2 linked regions of the Xenopus tropicalis genome follow. The protein of the gene in region 1 binds, or shares a complex with, the protein of each later gene. Links are inferred from orthologs where the notes say so. Each region holds a gene or a part of one and is shown on either strand. Other genes may lie near its edges.

Region 1 (3,656 bases):
TATTATTATTCCTTTTAGTTCTAAGGACACTAATGGGACACAAAGCCAATGTCTGCAGCCTGGATTTTCATCCTTATGGGGATTTTGTAGCATCTGGGTCCTTGGACACTAACATAAAAGTAAGAACCCATGCAGAATCACTAGAATTGTAAGAGAACACCACACATTGAAAATAGGTTTAAATAAACTTTTATGCTGATCAGAACTTGCATATATAAAAAAAAAACTATAGATCTTGTAAACTTTAAAGTGGTTGCGCCCCCCCCATGAAAAAAAAAATAATTCTAATCAACTTTCCAATATACATTCAAGCAGACCACTGGTCTGAATGCTGGAACTTGCCAGGTGAGTCAGATTTGCAAAAAAAGCATGCAAGGCATAGTAGAAATTGAAGAGCCCCCCATCCCTGACAGGGGAATTTTAATTGGAATAAATAAGTGTTAATTTCATGTATCTGCAAGTTCTGCCCTATATGGTATACCACCATTGTGGGATGTTGAATGCATATCTTGATCCACTGTATGCAGTTATTTATTGGATGTCAGCTGTTTAGGCCTTTTTACAGAATTATACATAATTCTGTTATGCATTGGGATTATTTTGCTGAATATTAGTGTATATATTAGTGTATGAAATTAGACCATTACCATTGTAGCAACAAGTGAAGATATGTATTTCTGACACTGTGTCTATTAGATAGGTCAGGATGATGCAACCCTAGCAAGGGTATAGCTGCATATATATCCACCAGCAACTTGGTATTAAATGGTGGTAACTGCACCATAATTTCTGTGATATTGTTAGGGTAATAACTAGCATGAGCTAGGGCTATAGCAGAAATATGCAAAATCTTAGAATTTTTTTAAATTGAAAAATAATTGGACACTAACATATTATTTGTCCCTAGGCTTATTAAATATTATTGAGATAAGATATTGTATCATTTGTATTTGGGTGTAGGTTTGGTCATCTCCAATAACACCGGGACATACAGTGTATATAAAAAGTCTACACACCCCTGGTAAAATGTCAGGTTCCTGTGCTGTACAAAAATGAGACAAATATAAATAATTTCAGAACTTTTCCACCTTTAATGTGACCTATAAACTGTACCACTCAATTGAAAAACGAACTGAAATCTTTTAGGTGGAGGGAAGAAAACCTAAAAAACTAAAATAATGTGGTTGCATAAGTGTGCACACCCTCTTCTAACTGGGGGTGTAGCTGTGTTCAGAATTAAGCAATCAAATTCAAAATCATGTTAAATAGGAGTCAGCATACACCTGCCATCATTTTAAGTGCCTCTGATTAACCCCAAATACAGTTCAGCTGCTCTAGTTGGTCTTTCCTGACATTTTTTTAGTCGCATCCCACAGCAAAAGCCATGGTCCCCAGAGAGCTTCCAAAGCATCAGAGGGATCTCATTGTTAAAAGATATCAGTCAGGAGAAGGGTACAAAAGAGTTTCCAAGGCATTAGATATACTATGGAACACAGTGAAGACAGTCATCATCAAGTGGAGAAAATATGGCACAACAGTGACATTAACAAGAACTGGACGTCCCTCCAAAATTGATGGAAAACTGGTCAGGGAGGCTACCAAGAGGCCTACAGCAACATTTAAGGAGCTGCAGGAATATCTGGCAAGTACTGGCTGTGTGGTACATGTGACAACCCGTATTCTTCATATATCTGGGCTGTGGGGTAGAATGGCAAGACAAAAGCCTTTTCTTACGAAGAAAAACATCCAAGCCAGGCTACATTTTGCAAAAACACATCTGAAGTCTCCCAAAAACATGTGGTAAAAGGTATTATGGTCTGATGAAACCAAGGTTGAACTTTTTGGCCATAATTCCAAAAAATGTGTTTGGCGCAAAAACAATACTGCACATCACCAAAAGAACACCATACCCACAGTGAAGCATGGTGGTGGCAGCATCATGCTTTGGGGCTGTATTTCTTCAGCTGGAACTGGGGCCTTAGTTAAGATAGAGGGAATTATGAACAGTTCCAAATACAAGTCAATATTGGCACAAAACCTTCGGGCTTCTGCTAGAATGCTGAACATGAGGAGGAACTTCATCTTTCAGCATGACAACGGCCCAAAGAATACATCCAAATCAACAAAGGAATGGCTTCACCGGAAGAAGATCTGACAGATTTGAAGTGTTTCTGCAAAGAAGAGTGGGCAAATCTTGCAAAGTCAAAATGTGCCATGCTGATAGACTCATACCCAAAAAGTGCTGTAATAAAGTCAAAAGGTGTTTCAACAAAGTATTAGTTTAAGGGTGTGCACACTTATGCAACCACATTATTTTAGTTTTTTTGGTGTTCTTCCCTCCCCCTAAAAGATTTCAGTTTGTTTTTCAATTGAGTGGTACAGTTTATAGGTCACATTAAAGGTGGAAAAAGTTCTGAAATTATTTTTTTGTCTCATTTTTGTACAGCACAGGAACCTGACATTTTATCAGGGGTGTGTAGACTTTTTATATCCACTGTATGTGAGATGATTGTAAATGCAAACAGGACTAAAGGATTGCTGTTTGTTAGGCTTGCCTGAAAGGCCATGTTTGCCAATGTTTAAGTTTCCAGGATATCTATTTTCCAAGTGGTAACTGGAGGTTACATTACTTTATGTGATTTATTATTCAGTTAAATTAAAGGGGCAATCAAGTCCTATTTTTAAGCAAAAGCCAGATCAACAGGGGCTGTGCTTTGTCCTTTTTTAAATAGAAATCTATAGTTATTTGTTGCGCTAAAATGCAGTAACATTTAAACTACTTTCATTTTAAATTTGGTCCTTTTGTATTCAAAACAAATATGGGTAGTAGGCTATAAAGGGAGGCTTTGGGTGTTTTGCCTGATAATAAAAGCAGTTTTATTTTACACTTGCTACAGAGTAGTTGTAGGAGGAGAAAATGTATCCTTCCCAGTTAATCCACTTGTAAATTTAACTTCTCCTCCTCCGCTGTCAGACTGAGACAGCAACTGAGGGAAGGGGACAGCTTGTTTATATAGAACACATTATCTCCCTTTAAACTAACTCCCTTTATTTACAAGCGATTGAATGATTGATGTAATTAGGGTCAAAACAAAATAATGACCTATATAGTACCTATATAAGTAAAGTATAGGTAATTTTAAAGAATGAATAGAATGCAAGATATCCAACCTAATATTATAAGAGCCAAAGAGTCCTCTTCTCTCCTTGCCCTTCATATGCATCATTGAGAGGACTATTTGCTCTATTCACAGTATTCTGTAGTTTAACAGTCGAGAATTTGTAATTAATATTTGATAAATGAGACAAAGATGGTTTCATTATATGACATATTTGTAATTCTGCTGGTACTGTATGCACTGATAGGTTAGAGTTTAGTGCTTGAGGAAATATAAATTTCATATATAAATGAAGTTAGTTTAATATTTACATCACTGAACCATTAACAAACTTTTCTTTTGTTCTTTTAGTTATGGGATGTGCGCAGGAAAGGCTGTGTTTTTCGCTATAAGGTACATTCTTTGTGGAGGACATATCTGTATTGAAGCGTATGCAGTAATAACGCATTATCTGAATTTGTCTGAAATATGTGGATGGTTGAACTTGCTTATACTGTCAGTTAACATTTTCTGTTCTGTGAATCTCTAGGGTCATAC
Region 2 (3,656 bases), on another chromosome or scaffold:
TGCTATTCATATATTGCAATCAGTCATAGATGTATTGCAAAGTGGTCACTTGTGCTAGAATGGGCAAAAGCCAGAAATTAGAGCAGGTTAAATCTGTCTGCTCACAGCATGAGTGCATTGTTTACATTTTTTTTCTGGTAAGAAACTCGCTCTTTTTTTTTATAAGCAACTGTAAGAAAATAATTGCTGTTTGTGAAAATATACTTATTAAACATCTACTCAAATGCATTTTTTATGCTTTACCTTTCAATTCACATTTTTATTGAATTATTTTCAATTACTGGGGATGGTGTAGGTGGCCACCTGTGATGGATTTGGTTAATTTTATTTCAAATACTAAAATATTTTATTTAGGGATGACATTGCAGATTTGGAGGAAGCCAAGAAACTGTTAAAGGAAGCAGTGGTACTTCCAATGTGGATGCCAGAGTTCTTTAAAGGCATAAGGAGACCATGGAAGGTAATAAAGATTTAAAGATTTTTAATGTTGTATGTTTTTCATTTATACAGTTGTTGGGGGACAGTTTTATTTCCAGTAGTTTTTCAGTGCAGTGTGAGAACTTCTAATTTATTTATTTTTTTTTATATATACTTTTTCCATGATATTAGTGAGTTACAGTATGATAAAAAAAAACTTATTGGGAATAAAATATATAATGTGCTAATATACTATTGGCAGAGATGTTATACAGTTGAATTATACAGTCAAGACACAAGTACTTATATATATTCCATTCTCCTAACTTCTTACATTTTTTTAGTTTGTGAGAATGTTTTTGTTGTTTGTCATTGAGTAACCAAAAACAACACAAAAGAGTTAAATAATGCCCTTTTCTCTTTTGGTAGACCGATTGCATTGAAGCTGTTTTATTTCTGTCTTTGTACAATATATTTTTCTTTGAATAAAATACATGGACTAGAAGAAAACTGGAATTCAACTGAAACAATAAAATTATAACCTCACAACTTTAAAGGAGAAGGAAAGGCAAAGTCACTTGGGGGTGCCAAAATGTTAGGCACCCCCAAGTGACTTTAATTGCCTACCTTTTACCCCGGGCTGGTGCCCTTGTTAGGAGAGAACAGCACCAGCCCGGGGTAGCTGCCAGCGCTTCCTTGTTCCTGCCTTGCCACGCGCACATGCGCAGTAGAGTGAAAAGCTGAACTTTAACAGAGGAGTCGGCTTTTCACTCTACTGTGCATGCGATTGTCCGGGACATTCGGCAGCAGCGCGAGTAGGAAGGAGAAAGCGCTCTGGACAGGTACCCCGGGCTGGTGCTGTTTTCTCCCAACAGGGGCACCAGCCCCGGGGTACAAGGTAGGCGATTTAAGTCACTTTGTGGTGCCTGACATTTTGGCACCCCCAAGTGACTTTGCCTTTCCTTCTCCCTGCAGGTTCCCCAGCCAGCCGTGTCCCCTACCCCCCCCCCCCCCCCCGCAGGGCCCCCACCTGACGTCCTCCCCGAGCGAGTATAAATTGAATGTGTAAGGGGAGGAACAGTCAGAAAGGGGAGCGCCGGCAAAGGTCGGACTGGGCCGCCGGGGTGCACCGGGATTTTTCCCAGTGTCCCAGCGGCCCAGTCCGACCCTGGTCACACTTTACTGCTGAGCTGCAAGTTGGAGTGATATCACCCCCCCTCACAGCAGCCGATAAGCAGAACAATGGAAAGGTAGCAAGATAGCAGCTCCCAGTAGATATCAGAAAAGTTCTCAATAGTAAGAAATCCAAGTCCGGTTTGCTACACCTCCAGTTACATGGGGGTAGGAGAAATAATTGGTTGCCTGAAAGCAGTTCTAATGTGTAGTGCTGGCTCCTTCTCAAAATCAGGCCCAAGACTGCCTACACACCAATATTACAACTAAAAAAAAATACATTTGTTGGTTCAAGAATAAAATTTTAAATGGCAGAGTGAATTATTTGCTATGTAAACAGTGTAATTTAGAAATAAAAAGTAAACCATAAAAATCATGACAGTATCCCTTTAAAAGGAGTAGTTTACCCTGCTGGAACACGGTGTAAAGTGTAAAATAGGCATAAACAGATATGTCTTTTGTTTACCGTGCTCCTTGATGAGCCCCAAGGTAGCACTGCAATCAGGGATGTGGCTAAAAGTGGGTAACACGTAGGCATCACCTGCAATGCCCTGTTAGCTTAAATTTCATTCATAATATGAATGAGCCAGAGAGCCTGTGTTAATTTCTCTCTAGCTTTGCTCCCTTTAACTCTCCAGCACCCATAGTACAGGTATGGGATCTCTTATCCGGAAACCCGTTATCCAGAAAGCTCCGAATTCCGGAAAGCCCGTCTCCCATAGACTCCATTCAGAATTTTAAAACTGATTTCCTTTTTCTCTGTAGTATAAAAACAGTACCTTGTAATTGATCCCAACTAAGATATAATAAATCCTTATTGGATGCAAAACAATCCTGTTAATGTTTTATTAATTTTTTAGTAGATTTACGGTATGGGGATCCAAATTACAGAAAGACCTCTTATCTAGAATACCCTTGGTCTCAAGCATTCTGGATAATGGGTCCTATACCTCTATTGGTAACTAGGTCCTAAAACATGTTGGTAGAAAAATTAGCGAAAACTTTTTTGTGCATTTCTATTGTAATTCATTATTGTAATTGCATTAAAACTGTTTGCATAAAATTCTTGTTTATTAAATGTTTTATTATAATAAAAAAAAATGCCAATAGTGGGACCTTCATGGATTTTTATTAAAAATGTTTTTTCTTCTCATTTATTTCCAAGGGAGTGCTAATGGTTGGGCCTCCGGGAACAGGGAAGACTCTCTTAGCCAAGGCAGTTGCCACAGAGTGCAAAACAACATTTTTTAATATTTCCTCATCTACACTTACATCCAAATACAGAGGAGAATCTGAGAAACTAGTACGTCTGTTATTTGAAATGGTGAGTACTTAAATATAATAAACAAAGTCAGTAAAATGTAATAAGTAGAATTGTATGGTGTTGTATTCAGTTATGCGGGGCAATTCAGAACTGATGTGGCCTTCTGGCTAGTGCAGAGAGAGCAATTGCATTCTTTGCACCAGAGAAATCTCCAGTTATAAAGGAAAATTTCAGTTACTTCTAGTGACTTGCTACACACTGCAAACTAAGGCAAGGTTCCCACCTTGCCACATGGCCCCACGTTGTCACGTTTAAAGGAGAATGCAAGTCAAAATTTAAAAAGCATACTGCCCAATAGTCCTCCTATTGATTAGTAAATAAAACACCTAATCAAATATTTACTCAGTCACTCATACTTCACATTTTCTAGAACAGGCAGCCATCTCTAAAAAGGTATTCTCCCATCTTTTCCCTCCTTGCTTCATACTGCACATGTGTTTCATTCCCTCCCCCCCTCCCCTCTGGCAGATCGGCTTCTGATTGGCTGGTGGGTATGTGTAGCTCAGAACAGGAGACAGGATCAAGTTACACACATGCTCAGAGAATAGGAAGGCTGCCGCTGGCAGCCTACAGGAAGGACAGATTGATTTCAGTGATGTCACTGTAGTCTTCACACTGCTGTAGGCTGCCAGCACCATATCTCAGAGAAGCAAGCAGAGATCTGGGAATTTAGATATGCAGTAAGTACTTAAAAAAGAATGCCTTTAGACTTACTTTTAATTTATATTAACCTTTCATTGTC

What was found.
Region 2: the proteins of katnb1 (region 1) and katna1 are in contact, whole or in part, in a crystal structure (PDB 5OW5), measured with the Mus musculus proteins. The link is inferred for Xenopus tropicalis from reciprocal best matches to the Homo sapiens genes KATNB1 and KATNA1. Residues at the interface, in NP_083081.2 of Mus musculus: Leu485, Val486, Asp487, Glu488, Ala490, Met491, Gln493, Ile494, Arg495, Gly497, His498, Met501, Phe502, Val504, Leu505, Thr506, Arg508, His509, Leu512, Asp513, Val515, Arg516, Trp519, Thr521, Asp542, Leu543, Ile546, Gln549, Lys550, Leu553; in NP_035965.2 of Mus musculus: Leu5, Gln6, Ile8, Val9, Val12, Arg16, Ala19, Leu20, Leu21, Gly22, Tyr24, Tyr31, Tyr41, Leu50, Lys53, Trp54, Gln56, Val57, Glu60, Ile61, Val63, Glu64, Gln67, Val68, Asp70, Ile71, Thr74, Leu75, Ser77, Phe78.

Annotation. Positions count from the first base shown.
Region 1 is NC_030680.2:76,070,424-76,074,079, reverse strand, and holds part of katnb1 (katanin p80 WD40 repeat-containing subunit B1), read left to right. Parts: intron 1-18; coding exon 19-119; intron 120-3,470; coding exon 3,471-3,512; intron 3,513-3,648; coding exon 3,649-3,656.
Region 2 is NC_030681.2:58,161,895-58,165,550, reverse strand, and holds part of katna1 (katanin p60 ATPase-containing subunit A1), read left to right. Parts: intron 1-354; coding exon 355-460; intron 461-2,755; coding exon 2,756-2,914; intron 2,915-3,656. UniProt on the Homo sapiens protein: Catalytic subunit of a complex which severs microtubules in an ATP-dependent manner. Microtubule severing may promote rapid reorganization of cellular microtubule arrays and the release of microtubules from the centrosome following nucleation.